2 linked regions of the Macaca fascicularis genome follow. The protein of the gene in region 2 interacts with the protein of the main gene of each other region in a biochemical or structural test. Links are inferred from orthologs where the notes say so. Each region holds a gene or a part of one and is shown on either strand. Other genes may lie near its edges. The genes, in order: CDC27 and MDC1.

The links.
Region 1: the proteins of MDC1 (region 2) and CDC27 form a complex in vitro, tested with the Homo sapiens proteins (2 studies listed by BioGRID). The link is inferred for Macaca fascicularis from reciprocal best matches to the Homo sapiens genes MDC1 and CDC27.

Annotation. Positions count from the first base shown.
Region 1 is NC_088390.1:68,095,019-68,106,845, forward strand, and holds the end of CDC27 (cell division cycle protein 27 homolog), read right to left. Parts: intron 8,510-11,827; coding exon 8,435-8,509; intron 7,159-8,434; coding exon 7,002-7,158; intron 5,585-7,001; coding exon 5,502-5,584; 3' UTR 2,531-5,501; downstream 1-2,530. UniProt on the Homo sapiens protein: Component of the anaphase promoting complex/cyclosome (APC/C), a cell cycle-regulated E3 ubiquitin ligase that controls progression through mitosis and the G1 phase of the cell cycle.
Region 2 is NC_088378.1:141,946,070-141,957,397, reverse strand, and holds the end of MDC1 (mediator of DNA damage checkpoint protein 1), read right to left. Parts: intron 8,943-11,328; coding exon 8,151-8,942; intron 8,040-8,150; coding exon 7,969-8,039; intron 6,684-7,968; coding exon 4,083-6,683; intron 4,000-4,082; coding exon 3,880-3,999; intron 3,765-3,879; exon of another isoform or gene 3,749-3,764; coding exon 3,566-3,748; intron 3,341-3,565; coding exon 3,215-3,340; intron 3,128-3,214; coding exon 3,017-3,127; intron 1,556-3,016; coding exon 1,388-1,555; 3' UTR 431-1,387; downstream 1-430. UniProt on the Homo sapiens protein: Histone reader protein required for checkpoint-mediated cell cycle arrest in response to DNA damage within both the S phase and G2/M phases of the cell cycle.

The sequences.
Region 1 (11,827 bases), on a different chromosome or scaffold from region 2:
AAGGTGTGAGCCACAACGTCTGGCCTACAGTTTTCCTTAACAGTGTTGAATATTAAAAGGATGCTTGAGGCTGGGGCGGGCGAACTGCTTGAGCCCATGAGTTTGAGACCAGCCTGAGCAATACGGCAAAACCCTATCTCTACAAAAATACAACAATTAGCTGGGAGTGGTGGGGCATGCCTGTTGGTCCCAACTACTTGGGAGGCTAAGGCAGGAGGATCCCTTGAACCTGGGAAGTAGAGGTTGCAGTGAGCTGTGATCGTGCCACTGCATTCCAGCCTGAGTAACAGAGCAAAACCCTGTCTCCAAAAAAACAATGCTTGTGATAGAGGAAATTGTTAATAAAAATGCAAGAACTGAAGGAAAATTGAAGATTTATAACTTTCTACTTTAAAGCAAATCCTAGTCACTCAAAGAGGGAAAATATATTCCAATTTCAGTGGGAGAAGAGTAACGAAGCAGCACATAGATCAAAGCCCTAACAAAGGACTATACTACAACAGATCTGGATGATTAATAATCAAGTTTTTTCTGTAAAACCTGGACCTGGATGTTAGCCTACAGTAGAGTTTATATTTAAAAATGCTAGGCTGGGCACGGTGGCTCATGCCTGTAATCTCAACACTTTGGGAGGCCGAGGTGGGCGGATCATGAGGTGAAGAGATAGAGACCATCCTGGCTAACATGGTGAAACCCCGTCTCTACTAAAAATACAAAAAAAATTACCCGGGCGTCGTGGGGGGCGCCTGTAGTCGCAGCTACTCGTGAGGCTGAGGCAGGAGAATGGTGTGAACCCTGGGAGCTTGCAGTGAGCTGAGACTGTGCCACTGCACTCCAGCCTGGGTGACAGAGTGAGACTCCATCTCAAAAAAAGAAAAAAAAAATGCTAGAGAGGGCTGGCCATGGTGGCTCATGCCTATAATCCCAACACTGTGGGAGGCCGAAGTGGGCGGATCACCTGAGGTCGGGAGTTTGAGACCAGCCTGACCAACATGGAGAAACCTTGCCTCTACCAAAAATGCAAAAATCAGCCAGGCGCAGTGGTGCATGCCTGCCGTCCCAGCTACTTGGGAGGCTGAAGCAGGAGAAGCACTTGAAACTGGGAGGTGGAGGTTGTGGTGAGTGGATATCGCGCCATTGCACTCTAGTCTGGGCAACAAGAGTGAAACTCTGTCCCCCCCACAAAAAAAAAAAAAAAAAAAAAAAAAAAAGCTAGAGAGGGCTGGGTGAGGTGGCTCACGCTTATAATTCCAGTGCTTTGGGAGGCTGAGGTGGGAGGATTGCTTGAGGCCAGGAGTTTGAGATCAGCCTGGGCAACACAGCAATACCCTGACTCTACAAAAATAAAAAATAAAAAATGAGCCAGGTGTGGTGCTGCATGTGTGGTCCTGGCTTCTTGGGTGGCTGAGGTGGGAGGATTGCTTGAGTCCAGGAGTTCGAGGCTGCAGTGAGCTATGATCATACTACTGCACTCCAGGCTGGGGGTCAGAGCGAGACTGTCTTAAAAAAAAAATGCTAGAGAAGACAACTTACAGTTACCATTAAACATGACTTGAAACCTCCAGAGGAAGTCCAAAACTAAAATATAACATTCTGAACATACACTAATGCCAAAAGTGCCCAGTTGTATCATTTAATAGCTGAGCCTGTTTTCTCTTTTGTAAAATGAAGTAATACCTACCTTCTACTGTTGAGAATTGAAAATACCATCCACAAAGCAAGCAACACAATCCATAGAGCAGGATCTCAACAAACACAGCTTTTTAACAAAGTTTGCACTTACAGAGAAAAATAAAACCTGTACTGAACCTTTATGAACCGTGAGTTGTCAGCTAAACAAGCCAAAGAATAGTTCCATGTCTAAGCTGCTGTTTATCCTTGTTCAGCTGACATTAAATGGCAGGTCCTAGGGAAGGTTATGAGGTCTGTGTTGTTCCCCTTGGAACTGCCCAGCTCACCCCACCTTCATGTGTTTTTCCCTGTTACTGCCTTTTCTTCAAGTCTGAATAAAACCCTTCAGCTCTCTGTACTTTCTCCAAGATACCAAAAAAAAAAAAAAAAAAAAAAAAAAGATTTTCAAATTAGAGTAAAATTCAGTTTCTACATCTTCTTTCAGATCCTGACCTTTTTAAATAGATTCTAATTGGAACAAAAAACCTTTGTGTCCCTTTTGAAGAAATTTCAGAAATCATGTGATCAAAGGATAAGCAGTTGACTTGCAAATTCACAGCTGCTGGTTGGCAACAGGGCTTCTGTAGTTTGAAAAAAGGTATTCTAAAAATTACCATTGTTTTTGTCATAGTATTTATTTTGATATTCCAAATAATACTAAAAAAGAGTATGACCGTTTAAAAATATAAATATATTAAAAGAGTGTAAGTTTTAAAAAATTAGATAAACATTGCTCTAGATTTTTGTGAAACATAAAATTGTATCTCTATTTTTCTGTGCCTTCTTATGAAAATACAGATGGCACAGCTTTCATATAGCTTTAACAACTTGATTATAAATTGCTTTCAAAAGTAACTTATTTGGATTTTCCATATCCTTTAATGAATTGCAAATATATTAACAGAAAAGACTTTCCCCCTCAAGACTGTACAATTTCTGAAATAAGTCAGTTAAAGCAAAAAGAAGACACAAAATTACATTGTTTCAATGCAAACAGAACACACACTTCACACCCACACTTGCATTTTCCCAGGTTTTCACAAAGAAAATGGGTCACCATATTTCTCAGTGAAGACTCATACTATACTCTGGCTAATCAGAGACTTCCAAACTTTTTTCTTCAAAAAGAGCATTTTTAATAGACTAAATACTGGTTATCACTGAGTTTTTGTTTAAGGTACAACAGCAGCATGGTTCAAATGTTACTTGTAGTTCTTGGAAAAATCAAAAATTTTAAGTGATGAATACAGAAAATGTAGGGACCACCTTTCATTATTTTGAGTACCACTGTTCTCTTGAAAAAATATTCTAACCTTCTAAAATCCCAGAGTTAAGAACCATTTCCAAGGGGAAAAACAAATCCAAGGCCACAGCATAGCTTCTGAACAAGTGTGTGTGCATATATATGTATTAGGTTGGTGCAAAAGTAACTGCAGGTTTTGCCATAAAAGTCATGGCAAAAACCACAATTACTTATGCACCAACCTAATATATGTGTGAAACAGAGAAAAGGATGTCAAACTACTTAATTTAATTTCTGTAAAATAAACTTCTGATGTTTGAAACAAACATTTTGCTTGATCAAAATGTGTTCTTCTTCTGGTTGTTTGATCCCCATTCCATGCAAAAAACAAAACAAAAAAAGAAACTGTAAAAGCCAGAAAGTGTTACAAGGTGGGAAATAAGGCTTCAGATACCTAATGACTTTAAAAGTAGGTATGAGGAAAAATAAAATAGGCCAAGCTTGGGCGGAAACTGTTCCCCAGCCAGCCATTGCCATGGCGTGTCTTACAAAACGATCCTTTTATCCTTGGTCTCAAAAAATCAGTACCAGAAAGACTCTCACCTCTGGCACAGGACATAAATTCCTACTATAAAAAGATAATTATACTTCAGCAAATTATGTTCTAAGCTTAGCTTTCTCCAGGCTTTATAACGCAGAACTCAGGTTGAAGCTTTCTATAAAACTCTAAATGACACTGTTACACAGCACCTTGTGCTTTGCCAATTAAAAATATAAAAGAATCTAAAATTACATATTACAGAACTAATGGATAATACAATAGCATATGTGTTAGAATCCAAGTGCTAGCCTCTGGGAATTTTTCATTACATTTATTTTCTCCCAACTGTTCCTTTTTTTAAAAAAGTATTTTTTTAGACAGTACATATACATAAATTTAGGTAGGGAAATCTGTTAAATATTTCTCTGGCACCTGATACCTAAACACCCTGACTTGAATTAATTTATAATTGTACCTAATCCATATTCAAATGAGATTAACAGTAAATTATAGAAAATTACTGAGTCTACAGGCTAAAATTTTTTTCACATCTTTTGTAATCCACCTTATTTTCACAGCTTGACTAACAAATACAGGTAAGGTTGTCCTTCATCAAATAATCCAAAATAATAACTGTAGGCCTGTCATTCATAAGAAACTATAATTTGTTATATTCTGACATTGGCACTTAATAAAATGTTAACAACTAAAGTTTCTCTAAAATTTCAATACATTACAATAAAGGAGATAAACAATTTAAGACTGTTTAAATCTGTTATGGTGGAATTCCAATAATTATCAATTTATATGCATAATTAAATTCTTAAAATTGTGGCCATTTCCCAAAGACACCAACTGATATTATGACAAACTCAGAAGAGAACCTATCTCCTTCTTAAGAATGTTTCTTCCCCCAAGCTAAAAATTTCCAATATCCTAAACCCAATTCTTAGTAAATGTTTTGGTGACTCACACTACTGAAAAAATCTGAAGCAGAGAGTCAAAAAGAATGGAAAGGATCTCAACCAAAGATAACCGCACATTCTTACACTCTGCTTAAGCAAACACTTAGAAAAGTCAAAGGGATAATGTTTTGAACAAATATAGATTCCAGGTTATGGTACAATTCTGATTATATTAAGGCTTTCACTATCATGATCTCTTAAAGTCTCTACACTTTAGTGTTCTCATTCTGATTGATATGGTGAACTTAAGGGATTATTAAGGGCCTTGTTTTGGCTTCTCAGTGGGGAACCACTCTATCATCTCTGAATGTTAAAGGTGATCCCACAGAGCTCAAAGAGAAGAGGCAATATGGTATGAACCAATTTTAAAGTCTGCAATACCAAGACAACAATGATCAACACTTTGAAGCAAGATGAATAAATTAAAATTCTTGGTTAGACATTAAAGCATTCTTGCCAAGAATAAGTGTACACTGTATGGAGGGATATTTGATTCCTACATACGAATCCCAATATGCCCATTACATTTGTTTATGGGAGACACTGCAAGTTGAAGGTAATTTACATTCCTTGGCAATCAAGTTACTGTTATAGGCAACGTCTTTTATTGTTCCATCTGGCACTTGCAAACACCATTCTTGAAGAACCTAGAAATGACGGTCAGTTACTCTGTTTATCAGGAACAGAACCAAATAAAAACAAATTTTTGAGAAAGCAACCAAGAAATTCTGGTTCATCACTATTTTCCATATCTAATGGTTCCTTCAAGATAAAACATAACTCTTCCTTTCATGATACTTTCCAACAAAGGGAGATTAAAGAAAAACAGAAAAGAAAGTCCCCACCCTACCCCCCATAAATTGTCATTCATACTGGTAAAAGAGCCAGTCTTGTTAGCAGCTAAATATTGCACTGCCTTTCATTCCGTATACAGTCAGGGTCCAATGAAAGTGGCACACTCATGGTATAAGTGATGGATGATGACACCGCCGGCTCAAGAGTAAAGACTCAGTATATGGAGGGACAAGAAACATGTCAGCACTAGTCACACATCCAGTTGTAAAAGTCCGATTTCCAGAAGTTAAAATTCATCACTTTCAGCTGCATGAAGTTGTGTGTCATCCGCATCTGTCATGCTGCTCTCCTGGGATTCATCTGTTCCCACTTTAAAAATAAAACAAAAGTCTACAGTAAGGTTTCTGACAAACATATCCTGTTGGTTCACGAAAACAAGAAAAATTGTATTATATTCAGAGAGATAAAACCCTAAATAAAGGCCCTTAAAAATCCTCATATCCTTTAATAAAATGCAACTCAAGTTTCCTAACTTTGTAATAGGTCTGACATTAGCTTACTGCATTTTACTTTTAAGGTTTTAACTACCAAAACTGCCTCTCCCTAATGGGTTCCTTATTCCTGCCCTAGGAATTACAACTAGCTAGTTCTCTGAGACATTAAAAAAAAAAAAAAATTGACATTTCCCCAACCTCCAATCACTGACTCCACTTTAAGAATACTTCCTGCTAGTCCACAGAAACATAGACTATAACCTTCAGTTTCAAAAGGTTTATGGGGTCTATCTATCTATCTATCTATTAATCAATCAATCATCTATCTCGGTCTGTCACCTAGGCTGGAGTGAAGTGGCACAATCATAGCTCACTGCAGCCTCAAACTCCTGGGCTCAAGTGGTATGATTCTCCTGCCTCAGTCTCCCAAGTAGCTGGGACTATAGATGCATACCACCACATCCAGCTAATTTAAAAAATTTGTTTAGAAGCAGGGTCTCACTGGCTCGTCGTGAAATCCTAGGCTCAAGCAATCCTCCCACCTCAGCCTCCTGAGTAGCTGGGATTACATACACAAGCCATCATGCCTGGCTTATAATTTTTTTTTTTTTTGAGACAGAGTTTCATTCTTGTTATCCAGGTTGGAGTGCAATGGCATGACTTCAGCTCACTGCAACTTCAGCCTCCTGGGTTCAAGCGATTCTCCTGTCTCAGCCTCCCGAGTAGCTGGGATTACAGGTGCCTGCCACCATGCCCAGCTAACTTTTGTATTTTTAGTAGAGATGGGGTTTTACCATGTTGGTCAGCTGGTGTCGATCTCCTGACCTCAGGTGATACACCCACCTCCGCCTCCCAAAGTGCTGGAATTACAGGCCTGAGTCACTGTGCCTGGCCCCGTGGCTTATAATTTTAATTAAAGGTTTTCACCAAGTTTTCTGGAACAAAGGCATCTAATCAGAATTTACCTTGTCAGAAATTTCTCTATTCTCTTATTTAAAAGACTACATTCTTAGGAAGCAAATAAAACACTACTGGTTACATATTCAAACATAAATTGAGGCCCAGGTAAAAATTAGCAATGAATTTATCAAAGTCACACAGCAAACTAGATCCAGAACAGAGACTAATTATCTGACTTTATATGCATTTTGTTATTATATCACCCTGTTCAATTTCCCTAAAAGTTCATTTGGTAACACCACGGTTAGAAAAATAAAATAAAGGAGTAGCCTACAAATCCTTATGCAAAAGGTAACTTTCTAAATACTCAAAATCATATGTGTGATACTTACTGATCTGTTCTTCTTGGGTTATTGGCTCCTCATCATCTGGAAGATAGCGCTTATCAATTGCCTCTTTAATCTGGTTATTGGCTCCTTTAGGATCTAAATCCATAGCCCAAGAGAAATTCATCAGGGCGAGGTGCGTTTGACCTAACTTCTTGTAAACCTAAAAATAAACAGCAATACTACATTTTTCATTAAGTTGTGAGCTTCAACTATAAAATTCTAAATATTTATATATTTATTTATTTTTGAGATGGAGTCTTGCTCTATTGCCCAGGCTAGAGTGCAATGGCGCGATCTTGGCTCACTGCAACCTCTGCCTCCCAGGTTCAAGCAATTCTCCTGCTTTAGTCTCCTGAGTAATTGGGACTACAGGTGCCCGCCACTGCTCCTGGCTAATTTTTGTATTTATAAGTAGAGACAGGGTTTTGCCATGTTAGCCAGGCTAGTCTCAAACTCCTGACCTCAGGTGATCCACCTGCCTCAGCCTCCCAAAGAGTGCTGGGATTACAGGCGTGAGCCACAGTGCCCAGTCTCTACAGTTCTAAATATTTATAATTTAAACTAGGCTCCTGATTTATGTGATCTAAACTTATTCTAACGGTAGGACATTTTCTTCCTACAGATGAACTCATACCAGCTTTTGAGTTCCTTTTCATATAATCAGATATTATTTTCAGAATTCCTTGCTTCTATCTTTCAGGTAGTAAGTTTCCAATAAATATCACTCTGACTGGAACAATGATAATGGGATTAAATGGATTATAAATTGCTTAATTAACTTTCATTTACAGTGATTTTAAATTGAGTTATATCAACTCTTAACAACTGTCTACAGGCACCTTAACTAATTGGCATATGGGGGTCTAGTATGTAAAAAACTGACTAGTCTGGCCTTGGGACTCTCAGAAGCCATTTCTCTTAATCAAGACAACACAGTGCCATTCATGTTCTTCTTCTTCTTTCTCTTTTTTTTTTGTTTCTGAGACAGAATCTTGTTCTCTTGCCCAGGCTGGAGTGCAGCAGCGTGATCTTGGCTCACGGCAACCTCCGCTCCCGGGTTCAAGTGATTCTCGTGCCTCAGCCTCCGGAGTAGCTGTGATCACAGGCATGAGTCACTACGCCCAGCTAATTTTTGTATTTTTAGTAGAGGTCGGGTTTCACCATGTTGGTCAGGCTGGTCTTAAACTCCTGACTCAGGTAATCCACCTGCCTAGGCCTCCCAAAGTGCTGGGATTACAGGCGTGAGGCACCGTGCCCAGCTAGGATATCATTTTCTCAAGTGTTAGAACCAAATCTGTTATTCCCAGAGCACTCAGTTTGGAGCTTTAGTTGAATTTGCTCAATAGATATTGTACAGTAAGTATTAAATTTATTCTTATAAAATGTCAATATTTGCTGTGAAAGTCACTGTTTGGGACCACGGCCCCAGTCTTTACCTTTCCTATTAAGAAGTAAACGAGGGATTCTTTGGGAACAATTTGTTTCAATTCTTCAAGTTCTTGTAAAGCAGACTGAAAAAGGCAAAGAAAAACCTTAAAGTATCAAAAATTTTTAAAGTTTTGACCAAGCAATTTTTTTATTTGATTTCCCAAATCACCTTCATAAAAGCTAACTAAATCTTAATCAATATACTTCCTTATTGTATTAGTTCTTATTGTTGTGAAAATAAAACGCATACTTAAAGTAAGTACTAAGAAATAGCAGGCACTCTAGTACACTGAAAACACACACACACACAGACACACACACACACACACCCCTCTTTGTGAAATATGCAGGTGGTGACAATCCTTGCTTTTGGTCATCTATCTATCTATCTATTTATTTTTATTTATTGAGAAGGAGTCTCGCTGTCGCCCAGGCTGGAGTGCAGTGGTACAATCTCTGCTTACTGCAATCTCTGCTTCTCAGATTCATGCAATTCTCCTGCCTCAGCCTCCCGAGTAACTGGGATCACAGGCATGCACCACCACACCCAGCTAATTTGTGTATTTTCAGTAGAGACGGGGTTTCACCATGTCAGCCAGGCTGGTCTTGAACTCCTGACCCAAGTAATCTGCCCGCCTCAGCTTCCCAAAGTGCTGGGATTACAAGCGTGAGCCACCGTGCCTGGCCCAGTGATTTATTTTTTAATGAAAAATAACTATATAATTTTTCAGAACAACAAAAAGTCATTGAGAAGAGTGGCATTAACATTTCTGCAAGTCTCTGTTAGTAGAAGACAGCTAGATTCTCACATCTATCTCCTCCATTTAATCTGTTTTGATATCACATATTATGTAGCTTTTGGAAAATTCTACTGTCCATTTGGGACAGAATGAAGACTGAAAAAGGTAAATAATGTCAAGACATTATTGTAAAAATAGCTCTGACCTCTAAGACTCTTTAGAATAATTTTAGGGACCCCCAGAAGTTCCCAGACCACTTCTGAGAATCATTAAAGAAATCTTTTTCTTTTTCTGAGACAGACTGTCATTCTGTCACCCAGGCTGGAGTGCGGTGGTGCGATCTCTGCTCACTGCAACCTCTGCTTCCTGGGTTCAAGTGATTCTCCTGCCTCAGTCTCCTAAGTAGCTGGGATTACAGATGCTTACCTGTAATTCCTGGCTAATTTTGTCTTGTATTTTTTTTTTTTTTTTTTTTGAGACGGAGTCTCGCTCTGTCGCCCAGGCTGGAGTGCAGTGGCCAGATCTCAGCTCACTGCAAGCTCCGCCTCCCGGGTTTACGCCATTCTCCTGCCTCAGCCTCCCGAGTAGCTGGGACTACAGGCGCCCGCCACCTCGCCCGGCTAAGTTTTTGTATTTTTTAGTAGAGACGGGGTTTCACCGTGTCAGCCAGGATGGTCTCGATCTCCTGACCTCGTGATCCGCCCGTCTCGGCCTCCCAAAGTGCTGGGATTACAGGCTTGAGCCACCGCGCCCGGCCTTGTCTTGTATTTTTAGTAGAGATGGGGTTTCACTATGTTGCCCAGGCTAGTCTTGAACTCCTGACCTCAGGTGATCCACCTGCCTTGGCCTCCCAAAGTGCTAGGATTACAGGCGTAAGCCACTGCGCCTGGCCTTACTTTAAAGAAATCTTTTTTCTTTTTGAGATGGAGTTTTGCTCTGTCACCCAGGCTGGAGTACGGTGTCATGATCTTGGCTCACTGCAACCTCCGCCTCCCGGGTTCAAGCGATTCTCCTGCCTCAGCCTCCTAAGCAGCTGGAATACAGGTGCGTGCCACCACGTCCGGCTAATTTTTGTATTTTAGTTGACACAGGGTTTCACCATATTGGCAAGCTGGCCTCGAACTTCTGACCTCAAGTGATCCTCTCACCATGGCCTCCCAAAGTGCTGGGATTACAGGCGTGAGCCATCATGCCCAGCCTTTAAAGAAATCTTTTTTTCCCCCCCGAGATGGAGTTTTGCTCTATCGTCCAGGCTGGAGTGCAGTAGCTCACTGCAACTTCTGCCTCCCAGGTTGAAGCGATTCTCCTGCTTCAGCTTTCCAAATAGCTGTGATTACAGGTGCCCGCCACCATACCTGGCTAATTTTTGTATTTTTAGTAGAGATGGGGTTTCACCATGTTGGCCAGGCTGGTCTTGAACGCCTGACCTTGTGATCCACCCGCCTCAACCTCCCAAAGTGCTGGGATTACAGACGTGAGCCGCTGTGCCTGTCCTTTAACGAAATCTTAACCTTCAAGATGACAGACTCCAATCCTCCTTCACTGCTACAACACACCCAATTCAGAACTGATACGTTTTCTTGCTATGACTGCATATTATAATTGTTATCAACATTTCATGCAACTAGCATGCCTATCCCCACCCCCAATGATCTAATTACAAGGATTCATTGAGAAATAGTATCTAACACAGCATCGGAGTTCTTTTACCCTAAAGACTTAAGATTTAAATGATTAAATATCAGCACAACACATTAAATAAGGTGATGGCTAGCAATGTTTTAGAGATGTTGAAATGGTCCCCTTGATTTTCATTTTGGAGCCAGAAAATCTCAGAAGCAATCATTAACTTTTCTTTCTTGTTTTCAAGTGACTAATAAATGGCCCATGACACAGTCCCAGGAGATCCTGAGAACATGTACCCTTTAACTTTTCTTTATGCCCTTTTCATACAGTCACATATCTATATCTAGTCCATGCATCAAATTAGGCCTCATAATTCAGTGAAGCTCATACCCCAAAATGCCTGTAACTGGGAGTTTCTCTGAGTCTACTGTGGCTCAGGAGGCTGCCTGATATAATAATGATAATGACAATGATAATAATAATAATAATAATAATAATACTAATAATAACAAAAGAGGGAGTCTCTCTGGTCCTACTTTGGATTAGAAGGCTGCCTAATTAAACAAACAAAGAAAACCCCACAAAAATGGCTATAACTATATATATGTCATAGTCCAGACAACTGATGAGATTAGAACTTGGGCTTCTTGAAGCAAGTAAAGGCTGATTTATGTGGCCTATCTGGTAGGTATGTTGGTATTAAAATGGCTTTAAGAATAATGAATAAAGTCCTTCATATCTAAAGAAATACAATAAAGCAAGTACATAAAAACAAATACTGATTTGCAATTATAGTACTTCAAAGAGTAGTTAAAAGTTGAAAAGGGTTTATTAGATTTAAAATAAGCTTAAAAAAATTTTTTTTTTTTTTGAGACAGAGTCTCCCTCTATTGCCCAAGCTAGAATGCAGAGGTGTGATCTGGGCTCACAGCAACCTCCGCCTCATGGGTTCAACCAATTCTCATGCCTCAGCCACTCGAGTAGCTGGGATTACAGGCATGCACCACCAGGCGTGGCTAATTTTTGGATTTTTAG
Region 2 (11,328 bases):
GAGGTGGGTGTGTCACTTGAGGTTAGAAGTTAGAGACCAGCCTGGGCAACATGACAAAACCTCGTCTCTACCAAAAATACAAAAATTTAACAGAGCCCCGTCTCTACTAAACAATTAAAAAAAAAAAAAAAAAAAAAAGTAGCCAGGCATGGTGGTGTGTGCCTGCAGTCCTAGCTACTTAGGAGGCTGAGGTGGGAGTACTGCTTGAACTGGGAGGTGGAGGTTGTAGTGAGCTGAGATGGTGCCACTGCACTCCAGCCTGGGTGACAGAGATGAAACCCTGTCTCAAGAAAAAAAAAAAAAAAACCCTTAAGAAATGTTATAATTTGCCCTAAATAGAAAATAATGATGAATTAAATATAAGTCTGTGACTTTTTTTTTAAAGTTTGTGTCTTGAGACCTAGACATTTTAAAAAACTACACTACACCATAAGGCACAGAGTGAATATTTATTTATCACAGAGGTCAAGCCTAAGCTCTAATTTTATAAATCCTGGAAAAGCAGGCCAGAAAAGTACAGAGACTTGCCCAAAGTCAAAGCTAAAGATGCTTCCAGAGGCCAGGAGAGAAGAAAATGTTTTAGTAGCACTCCATAACTGGACCCTCAAATCTACTCACTCCAAGCATCCCTTCAAGTTCCTGACTCCAAAGAATCTCAGTAAGAAAACAATAGAGATGGTTTCCAAATAGGAGGTAGGACACCATGAGTGGCATTGAGCAATAACTACAACAGTCTAGCTAAAGATACCTGCCACTTATGACATCTGAGCATGAAACTAATTTTAAAATGGCCATTTAGTATATACATGTAAGAAATCTTGTATCCCCTAAATCTATACAAATAAAAAACTACAAATAAAATGGCCATAAAAATGAAACAACAGGGCCGGGCGCGGTGGCTCAAGCCTGTAATCCCAGCACTTTGGGAGGCCGAGACGGGCGGATCACAAGGTCAGGAGATCGAGACCATCCTGGCTAACACGGTGAAACCCCGTCTCTACTAAAAAATACAAAAACCTAGCCGGGCGAGGTGGCGGGCGTCTGTAGTCCCAGCTACTCGGGAGGCTGAGGCAGGAGAATGGCGTGAACCCGGAAGGCGGAGCTTGCAGTGAGCTGAGATCCGGCCACTGCACTCCAGTCTGGGCGACAAAGCGAGACTCTGTCTCAACCAAAAAAAAAAAAAAAAAAAGAAACAACAAAACAAAAACAACAACCACCTGTGGCTTCCAAACGCCTTATCTTTTCATTTATTCATAAAGATTTCTGGTCCCACACATGTTCCAGGACAAGTTGTATCAATATACCCCAATCCTTTCTAACGCCCTGAGTTCTTTCTTCCAAATATCTTCTAATTCGTGGTCTGGGAGGGAAATGGGTAGCGGAGTTCTCAAGTAGATGACATCTCCAAAGGGGAAAGGACAAAGGCCTCTGGCTTGGCTTCCTGCTTCAGCACTCCAGTCAGCAGGAACTCAGGTGAGAGGAGGGGCAGCCCAACACGCAGTGGAACAGAGCAACGAGGGAAATCCTGAGGGCATGTGATCACAACTCTCTGAGGCTAGGGAAGACAGAGCAAAGACAAAATCAGGGGTGAAAAAGAATCCTAGAAATGGGTTCAGGACCCACTAACCAGTCTTAGCATCACTAAAATAATGCCTCCTAATATGAAGCCAAGTGAAGCACACCGTATACTGTCTATGAAATACTCTTGCTAGGCCAGGCACAGTGGCTCACTCCTGTAATCCCACCACTTTGGGAGGCCGAGGCGGGCAGATCACGAGGTCAGGAGATCGAGACCATCCTGGCTAACACGGTGAAACCCCGTCTCTATTAAAAACACAAAAAAATTAGCCGGGCGTGGTGGCAGGCGCCTGTAGTCCCAGTTACTTGGGAGGCTGAGGCAGGAGAATGGTGTAAACCCGGGAGGTGGAGCTTGCAGTGAGCTGAGATTGCGCCACTGCACTCTAGCTTGGGTGACAGAGCAAGACTCCATCTCAAAAAAAAAAAAAAAAAAAAAAAAAATTAGCTGGGTGTGGTGGCGTGCGCCTGTAGTCCCAGCTATTCAGGAGGCTGAGGCAGGAGAATGGCGTGAACCCAGGAGGCGGAGGTTGTAGTAAGCCAAGATTACTCCACTGTACTCCAGCCTGGCGACAGAGCAAGATTCTGTCTCAAAAAAAAAAAAAGGAAAAAAAAAAAAGAAACACACTTGCTAGAAAGATGAACCTGAATTCATTCAAGCTTTTACAATTATCTGCAGTTTCCAGGAAATATGGAATACAGAGGAACAAGATAAATGATGCAACAAGGAGGCAAACCCAAAATTCCACACTGAGGAACATTCTAAAGGACAAGTGACCCAGTTTCTGCAGGAAATTGATGGCATAAAAATAGCTGGGTGGGTTAAGGGATGCTGTAGAGTAAAGAGAATTAAGAGGATAATAGTTGTGGCAGTATGTAGACTTTATTTGAATCCTGATTTGAACAACTGCATAGAGAGATTTTTCAGTCAATGGGGGAAATTTTATTAATGGAGTGGGAGCAAATGACCAATAAACTACTGTTAATTTTGTTTAGGATCAATAATGGCATTGTGATTATGAAACAAAATGCACATATTTCTTAGAGATGTATATTTAAGTATGTAGGAAGAAATAATATAATATTGGCAGTTTGTTTTAAAATACTTCAGTAAAGAAAGAGAAAGGAAAAAAAGAAAGAATAAAGAAAAATAAAAAGAAAATACTTCAGCAAAGAAAATCAAAGGAAAAAAGGGATAGATGGACCAAAAGTAGCATAATCTAAATTAAGCTGCTGAATCTCGGTGATTGTTATATGGGTGTATCAGCAGATCTGTCCCCTCATTCCTATCCCTTTCTATACCATAGGCCTTTCCCCACCCTCTCACTACTCTATATTCTTTTCTGTACCTCCATTTTTTTCCCCTCCAACCTTTGCCATTCCAGCCACCTCTTTAACTGCTACTGCCACCTCATCCAGACCCAGAACATCCTAAGCATACCTTATAGGACCGAGGCATGCTGGGTAGGTATGTGCCTCCACAGCAGCTAATGATCTCTCCCATCTGAGGTGGTGGTGGCTGGACTCCAGGGGTCACATAGATCTCATAGCCCTAAGAGAAAAAATGGTGGAGACGGTATTGTAGGTTGGGAAGCACTGGAGGGAGGGCTGAAGCACAGGTCAAGAGATAGCCTCTCACCTCCAGCAGCCTTCGCTCCCGAGCCCGACTCAGTGCGTCTTGAAGGCTAAAGCCAAAGTTCTTCTCTTGCTCAGGGTCGGTCACCACATATTCATCCGGGGGTAAGAAGCAACCAGCCTTGCGGGACTAAGGACAGCAGCAGTCAGCATCAAAGCTCAGCCCAGCCCCTCACCCAGCTCTGCTGCCTAGCATTTAGAGAGAGCTCACAAAATGTCTTTTAAATCATTCAGGCTTCTGGCTCACTAATGCCCCTGTCTTCCTGTAACGCCTCTTCCCTTCCACAACTTTCTAGGGTACTACGTGAGCAGTCTTGCCACTATATTGGTCTGTCATCATCCCTTGGCCTCTCACCTGATGCAGCCAGTCCAGGGAGAGAATGGGGATTCCCCGCCCCAGGGCACACAGGAACTTGACTGTCCGGCGGATGCGATCAGTGACCAGGTGGGAAGCCTCTGCCGCTGAACCAGCCAGACTTCCCCCCAGTGCCAGCACGGCCCGCTCTCCCTGAGCATCCACCACTCCTGTGAAGAGCACCTGTGGAAGGGTTGACCTGAGGTGGTCACAGCAACCCACACCATCAGCACCCATCTCTACAATCCTCCAGGTCTCCTTGCATCCTCCCCTCATCTCTGTCTCCCACAAAGTCTCATGCCCTTGTCTCTTACTTTGGGGGCTGTTGACTCTTGGTTAAGTTTGGTCCGTCGGAGGCTGCGGTTCGGTATTCTGTTGGGCTCCTCCTCTGCCTGGTCTCTCTTTCTCTTGCCTGGTTTTGGAGTCATGACATCCTGAGATTGAGAAAAATCTTGGTGGGAGTTTCAGAGCCCCAAAGCCATTTTTCCCAGCTTTGTGGTCCTAGCCCTCTCCTCACCTCTTCCTTCCCTGGCTTCTCTGCAGTATCTTCTTCCTCTTCCTTGATAATCACTGTCTTCTGGGAGACTTCCCCTCTTTGGGGCTGTTTTTGATGTGGTGGTGAATCCATGATAGCTAAAGACCTCTTGCGGCTTTGAGAGGCCTTAGGCTGGAGCTCTGGGGTGAACCTAGATCTACCTGCTGGTTCCACTTTTTGGATCTGGGAGGCATGAGTTGGTATATCAAGAAGCTGGGGAGAGGCAGGCTCAGGAATGGCTGTAAGGGATTCATCTGCTCTCACTGCTCCCCATCTTTGGTTCCTTGAGGGCCGGGATTTAGGTTCCAGGGGTGCAGAGCAAGGCTTATGGTCAATGGGAGCTGTGAGGGAGCCAAGATTCCCAGTGGCTCTCTGCCTCTTGATGCAACTGGCTTGAGGAATAGGCTCAGGGGAAATGGGCTGGTCTGTGGTGACAGGAGATTGGAATTCAGGGGTAGTAGGAATTAGCATAGCACTTACTGTGGAAGACCTCAGTGTTTTGCTCTGACTACCCTGAGGTATGGCCTCAGGGGTGACAGGCTGGTCTGTGGGGGTAAAAGGCTCAAGATCAGAGGCTGCTGGTTCAACTGGTTCAGGAGTCTTGACAGAGGACCTATTTGTCCTTCCCCTAGTGGCCCTAGATGTGGGCTTGGGGGTGACAGGCTGGTCTGTGGAGGTGGTAGGATGGAGCTCAGGGGCTGTGGGGACAGCTGGTTCAGGGGTCTTGACAGAGGACCTATTTTTCCTGCCCCTAGTGGCCCGAGATGTGGGCTCAGGGGTGACAAGCTGGCTTCTGGAGGTGGAAGGGTGAAACTCAGGGGCTATAGGGACAATTAATTCAGGGGTCTTGACAGATGACCTATTTGTCCTGCCCCTAGTGGCCCGAGATGTGGGCTTGGGGGTGACAGGCTGGTCTGTGGAGGTGGTAGGACGGGGCTCAGGCGCTGTGGGCACAACTGTTTCAGGGGTCTTGACAGAAGACCTATTTTTTCTTCCCCTAGTGGTCCGAGATGTGGGCTCAGAGGTGACAGGCTGGTCTGTGGAGGTGGAAGCCTGGAGCTCAGGGACTGTGGGCACAACTATTTTAGGAGTCTTGACAGAGGTTCTATCTGTTCTTCCCCTAGTAGCCTGAGATGTAGGCTCGGGGGTAATAGGCTGGTGTGTGGAGGTGGAAGGCTGGAGCTCAGGTGCTGTGGAGACAACTGGTTCAGGGGTCTTGACGGAGGACCTATTTGTCCTGCCCCTGGTGGCCTGAGATGTGTGCTTGGCAGTGACTGGCTGGTGTGTGGAGGTGGAAGGCTGGAGCTCAGGGGCTGTGCGGAGAACTGTTTCAGGGCTCTTGACAGAGGACCTATTTGTCCTACCCCTGGTGGCCTGAGATGTGGGCTCAGGAGTGATAGGCTGGTCTGTGGAGGTGGAAGACTGGAGCTTAGGGGCTGTGGCCACAACTGTTTCAGGGGTCTTGACAGAGGACCTATTTTTTCTTCCCCTAGTAGGCTGATATGTGGGCTCAGTGATGACAGGCTGCTCTGTGGAGGTGGAAGGTGGGAGCTCAGGGGCTATAGGGACAGTTGATTCAGGGGTCTTGACAGAGGACATATTTGTCCTGCTCCTAGTGGTCCGAGATGTGGGCTTGGGGGTGACAGGTTGATCTGTGGAGTTGGAAGGGTGGAGCTCAAGGGCTGTGGGCACAACTGCTTCAGGGGTCTTGACAGAGGATCTATTTTTTCTTCCCCTAGTAGCCTGAGATGTGGGCTCAGAGGCGACAGGCTGGTCTGTGGAGGTGGAAGGCTGGAGCTCAGGGACTGTGGGGACAACTGGTTCAGGGGTCTTGACAGAGGACCTATTTGTCCTGCTCCTAATGGCCTCAGATGTGGGCTTGGGGGTGACAGGTTGATCTGTGGAGTTGGAAGGGTGGAGCTCAAGGGCTGTGGGCACAACTGCTTCAGGGGTCTTGACAGAGGACCTATTTGTCCTGCTCCTAGTGGCCTGAGATGTGGGCTTGGGGGTAACAGGTTGATCTGTGGAGTTGGAAGGGTGGAGCTCAAGGGCTGTGGGCACAACTGCTTCAGGGGTCTTGACAGAGGATCTATTTTTTCTTCCCCTAGTAGCCTGAGATGTGGGCTCAGAGGTGACAGGCTGGTCTGTGGAGGTGGAAGGCTGGAGCTCAGGGACTGTGGGGACAACTGGTTCAGGGGTCTTGACAGAGGACCTATTTGTCCTGCTCCTAGTGGCCTGAGATGTGGGCTTGGGGGTGACTGGCTGGGCTGTGGAGGTGGAAGGGTGGGGCTCAGGGGCAGCAGAGGTAGCTGGAAAGGGTGTCATCCTGGAGGACTTCCGAGTTATGATTTTAGGCTTTGGGTGGAAAGGCTCCAGCTCTGAGGACAAGGGAGTCTCTGGAGCTTCCTGACTCCTATCCTGCCCGGTCTTACGAATGGTTGGCTCGATAGAAGGTGAAAGGGGAGAAAGAAGGGGCTGAGGTGCAAGATGTTTCTGGTTCTGAGAGTTAAGGGGCTTTTGGGGTGGGGCTGAGGCTTCAGGCACTGTAGGAGGCAGACAAGCATCTGGAGATTCCTGATCGCCCTAGGGAGAAACAGAAGCAAGTGAGGGGGAGGAGGTGGAGAAAAGAGATAGAACTTGGATACTGTTCTTGATACTTGTTTATGGTTAGATAGGATTACTGGATTTCGCCCAGGCGTAGTGGCTCACGGCTATAATCCCAGCACCTTGGGAGGCCAAGGTGGGTGGATCACGAGGTCAGGAGTTCAAGACCAGCCTGGCCAACACAGTGAAACCCCGTCTCTACTAAAAATACAAAAAAAATTAGCCGGGTGTGTTGGCAGGTACCTGTAGTCCCAGCTACTTGGGAGGCTGAGGCAGGAGAATCGCTTGAACCTGGGAGGCAGAGGTTGCAGTGAGCCAAGATCGCGCCACTGCACTCCAGCCTGGGTGACAGAGTGAGCCTCTGTCTCAAAAAAACACATAAAAATTAGCTGGGCGTGGTGACACGCACATGTAGTCCCAGCCACTTGGGAGGCTGCAGCAGGAGAATCACTTGAACCCGGGAGATGGAGGTTGTAGTGAGCCAAGATCACGCCACTGCACACTCCAGCCAGGGTGACAGAGAGAGACTCTGTCTCAAAAAAGAACAAAAACAAAACAAAAAATATGCTCACTGGGCTGGGCGCGGTGGCTCACGCTTGTAATCCCAGCACTTTGGGAAGCCGAGGCAGGTGGATCACCTAAGGTTGGGAGTTCAAGACCAGCCTGACCAACATGGAGAAACCCCGTCTCTACTAAAAATACAAAATTAGCAGGGGTGGTGGCGCATGCCTGTAATCCCAGCTACTCGGGAGGCTGAGGCAGGAGAATCGCTTGAACCCGGGAGGTGGAGGTTGCGGTGAGCCGAGATCGCGCCACTGCACTCCAGCCTGGGTAAAAAGAGCGAAACTCTTTCTCAAAAAAAAAAAAAAATATGCTCACTGGATTTCCCTTTCTGTCTATGATCTCTCCTCCATTAGACTGGGATATACCTGGGAAGCTACTTTTCCCCATGGACCTGTCTCCATAATGCTACTATAGTGTTCTCCACACATGGATGATGGTAATGAAAAGGATGGCTGGGGCAAAGAAAGAAGAAACACGAAGGATCTTTCTTCGGAGTCAGGTAGGAGATACAACTTGGGAAACAGATATGGAAAACAATGGGTGCCGAGGATAAAGGAATAGAAGCCAATCAAGGAGTGATAAAAATGGAAGAAAACTGAATAATGAGAAAGGAATAGATTAAAGTGAGGCTAGGTGAAGGAGCGTTGGAGAGGATATAGAGATGACTTGTGGAGTAGGAGGTAGAAAAAGCAGCTCTCACCCTGGAAGCCTTCTCAGCAGCTCCGATCCTGGAAGCCTTCTCAGTGGGTGGCATCTTGCAATTCAGGAGGCCTAGACAGAAAATAAACACAAAGGTGGCTGAGTTGCAGGCAGCTGGTTGCCCAGGGGTTGATTATTATGAGGCCTGTGTATCACCTTGAGTTCCCCTCTGCCTTCACTTACCTTTCTGATGCCTCCTGGGGCTCACTGGGGATCCCCTTCCACCTGACTGGCTCCCAGAAGGTACGGGGGCTGAGGTAGGTCCCGGAAGGTCCCCCGCCCCCACCCCAGGCTCTGGTGTTGGGCTGGAGGCCTGCCCTTTCTGGTCCTGGCTCCCTCCCTTTGGCTCCCCTCTCTGTGCGTCTCTCTCCAGGATCACTTTGGGCACCTTCTCTTCTAACTCAGCTGGCTCACACTCTCTGTCTGCTACTGGTCTCTCTACTTCTCTCTCAAATGCTTTGCTTGGAAGGGTCTGCTTCTGTACTTGTTTCTCTTGTATTTCCTTGGATGTCTCAATTTCTACCTTCAAACTCTCCCTATCTCTTTCAGGACTTGCACTTTCCCCATTTTTGTCAGATTCTTGTCTCTGGGTGTCTCTAGCTAACAACTGTTTTTGTTCTCTGTCCTGTATCCCTCTGGCTAATTCTTCCTCTCCCGTCACATCTGTCTGTCTTTCCGGTAGCAGTTTCTCAGTTTCTCTCTCCAGTGGCCCTCTCTCAGGGCCCACCCTCTCTGCTGTTTCTTTTGGTATACCCATGCCTTTATCCACAGTCTGCCTCCCTCTGCCTTGAATCCCCATTGGCTCTGTGTGAACTGGGCTCTCTGGATGTTGGTCTCCTGGTATTGCCCTAGGTGGAGACAGGCAAGGTCCATAGGCCTCAAGGTGGGTGTCAAAAGGCTGGGTCTCAGAGTCCTCAGACTCTCTCAGACAGAATGGCTGTGTAGCCAGGACCTCCCATGGTTCATCTAGGGTACCTGGAAGGGAGGAAGGAAGAGAAAGAGAGGGAGAGAGAGAGAGAAAAGGAGAGGAGGAGGGAAAGGGAAGTACAGGTTGACATAATAAATATGATGAGAAAAGATTTAGATAAACTCATAAATAATAAATCTCAACAGGTTATTAAAGGAAAGCTGGGAATAAGGGTGGTAGTTACAACATTTAACGTTTGTCTCAAAAAGGTCATAGCCTTGGGCGGGCATGGTGGCTCAGACATGTAATCCCAGCACTTTGGGAGGCCAAGACATGAGGATTGCTTGAGGTCAGGAGTTTGAGACTAGCCTGAACAACATGGCAAAACCCCATCTCTACAAAAAATACAAAAAAATTAGCCAGGTGTGGGGGCAGGGACCTGTAGTCCTGTAGTCTCAGCTACCCAGGAGGTTGAGGTAGAAGAACTATTTGAACCCCAGAAGTCAAGACTGTAGTGAGCTGCGATCATACCACTGCACTTCAGCCTGAGTGACAGAGACCCTGTCTCAAAAAAAAAAAAAAAAGAAAAAAAAACCCAACAACAAAAAGAAAAACATCATAGCCTAATATGAGTTCCCTGAATAGTCTCTCCTCATACCACTGCACTCCAGCCTGAGTGACAGAGACCCTGTCTCAAAAAAATAAAAAAATAAAAACATCATAGCCTAATAAGAGAGTTCCCTGAATAGTCTCTCTCTTTTTCTTTTTGAGACACAGTCTCACTCTGTCACCCAGGCTGGAGTGCAGTGGCATGATGTTGGCTCACTGCAACTTCCAACTGCTGGGCTCAGGAGATCCTCTCACCTCAGCCTCCTGAGTAGCTGGGACTATAGCATGTGCCAATGCGCCCGGCTAATTTTTTGTATTTGTTGTAGATATGGGGCTTGGTCTTGAACTCTTGGACTCAAGTGATCCGCCCATCCTAGCCTCCCAAAGTGCTGGGATTACCGGTGTGAGCCACCATGCTTGGCTGGAATTTCCTACTTTTTAAAGGCTGAATAGTATTCCACTGTGTATATATACCACATTTTCTTTTTCATCGACACATAATAATGGTACATATTTATGGGGTACCTGTGCTATTTTGACTCATGCATACAGTGTACAATGATAAAACCAAGATAATTGGGATATCCACTGTCTCAAACATTTACCATTTCTTTGTATTGGAAACATATCAAATCTCTTCTAGCTATTTTGAAATATACAATAAATTATTAACTATAGTAACCCTACTGTGGAACTGAATACTAGAACTTATTCATTCAATCTTGACTGTATTTTTCTATCCATTAACCAACCTCTTTATGCATCCGGTCCCTCTACCCTTCCCAGCCTTTGGTAACCATCATTCTACTCTCTACTTCCATGAGATCCATGTTTTTAGCTGCCACATGAGTGAGCGTGCAATATTTGTCTTTCTGTGCCAACTTATTTCACTTAACATAATGTCCTCAGGGTTCATCCATGTTGCTGTAGATGACAGGATTTCATTCTCTTTTGTGGCTGAATACTGTTCCATTGTGTATATAAACACATTTTCTTTTTTAGATTGAGTCTTGCTCTGTCGCCCAGTTTGGAGTGCAGTGGCGTGATCTCAGCTCACTGCAATCTCTGTGTCTTAGGCTCCAGCAATCCTCCCATCTCAGCCTCCCGAGTAGCTAAGACTACAAGTGCATGCCACCATGCCCAGCTAATTTTTGTATTTTGAGCCACCGCACCCAGTCTATATACACATTTTCTTTTTTTTATTTGAGAGGAAGTCTCACTCTGTCACCCATACTGGAGTGCAGTGGCGTGATCTTGGCTCACTGCAACCTCTGCCTCTGGGGTTCAAATGAGTCTCCTGCTTCAGCCTCCTGAGTAGCTGAGACTACAGGCACCTGCCACCATGCCCAGCTAATTTTTGTATTTTTAGTAGAGACACGGTTTCACCATGTTGGCCAGGCTGGTCTCAAACTCCTGACCTCATGTGATCCGCCCACTTCGGCCTCCCAAAGTGCTGAGATCACAGGCATTAGGCACTGTGCCCCGCCTACGTTTTCTTTTCTTTCTGTTGTTTTTGAGACAGAGTTTCACTCTTGTTGCCCAGGCTGGAGTGTGATGGCACAATCTCAGCTCACCACAACCTCCGCCTCCCAGGTTCAAGGGATTCTCGTGACTCAGCCTCCTAAGTAGCTGGGATTATGGGCATGCACCACCACACCCAGCTAATTTTGTATTTTTAGTAGAGACGGGGTTTCTGCATGTTGGTCAAGGTGTTCTCAAACTCTTGACCTCGGGTGATCTGCCTACCTTGTCCTCCCAAAGTGCTGGGATTAGAGGCATGAGCCACTGTGCCCGACCCCGGCCTACATTTTCTTTATACATTCATCTGTTGATGGACATTTAGTT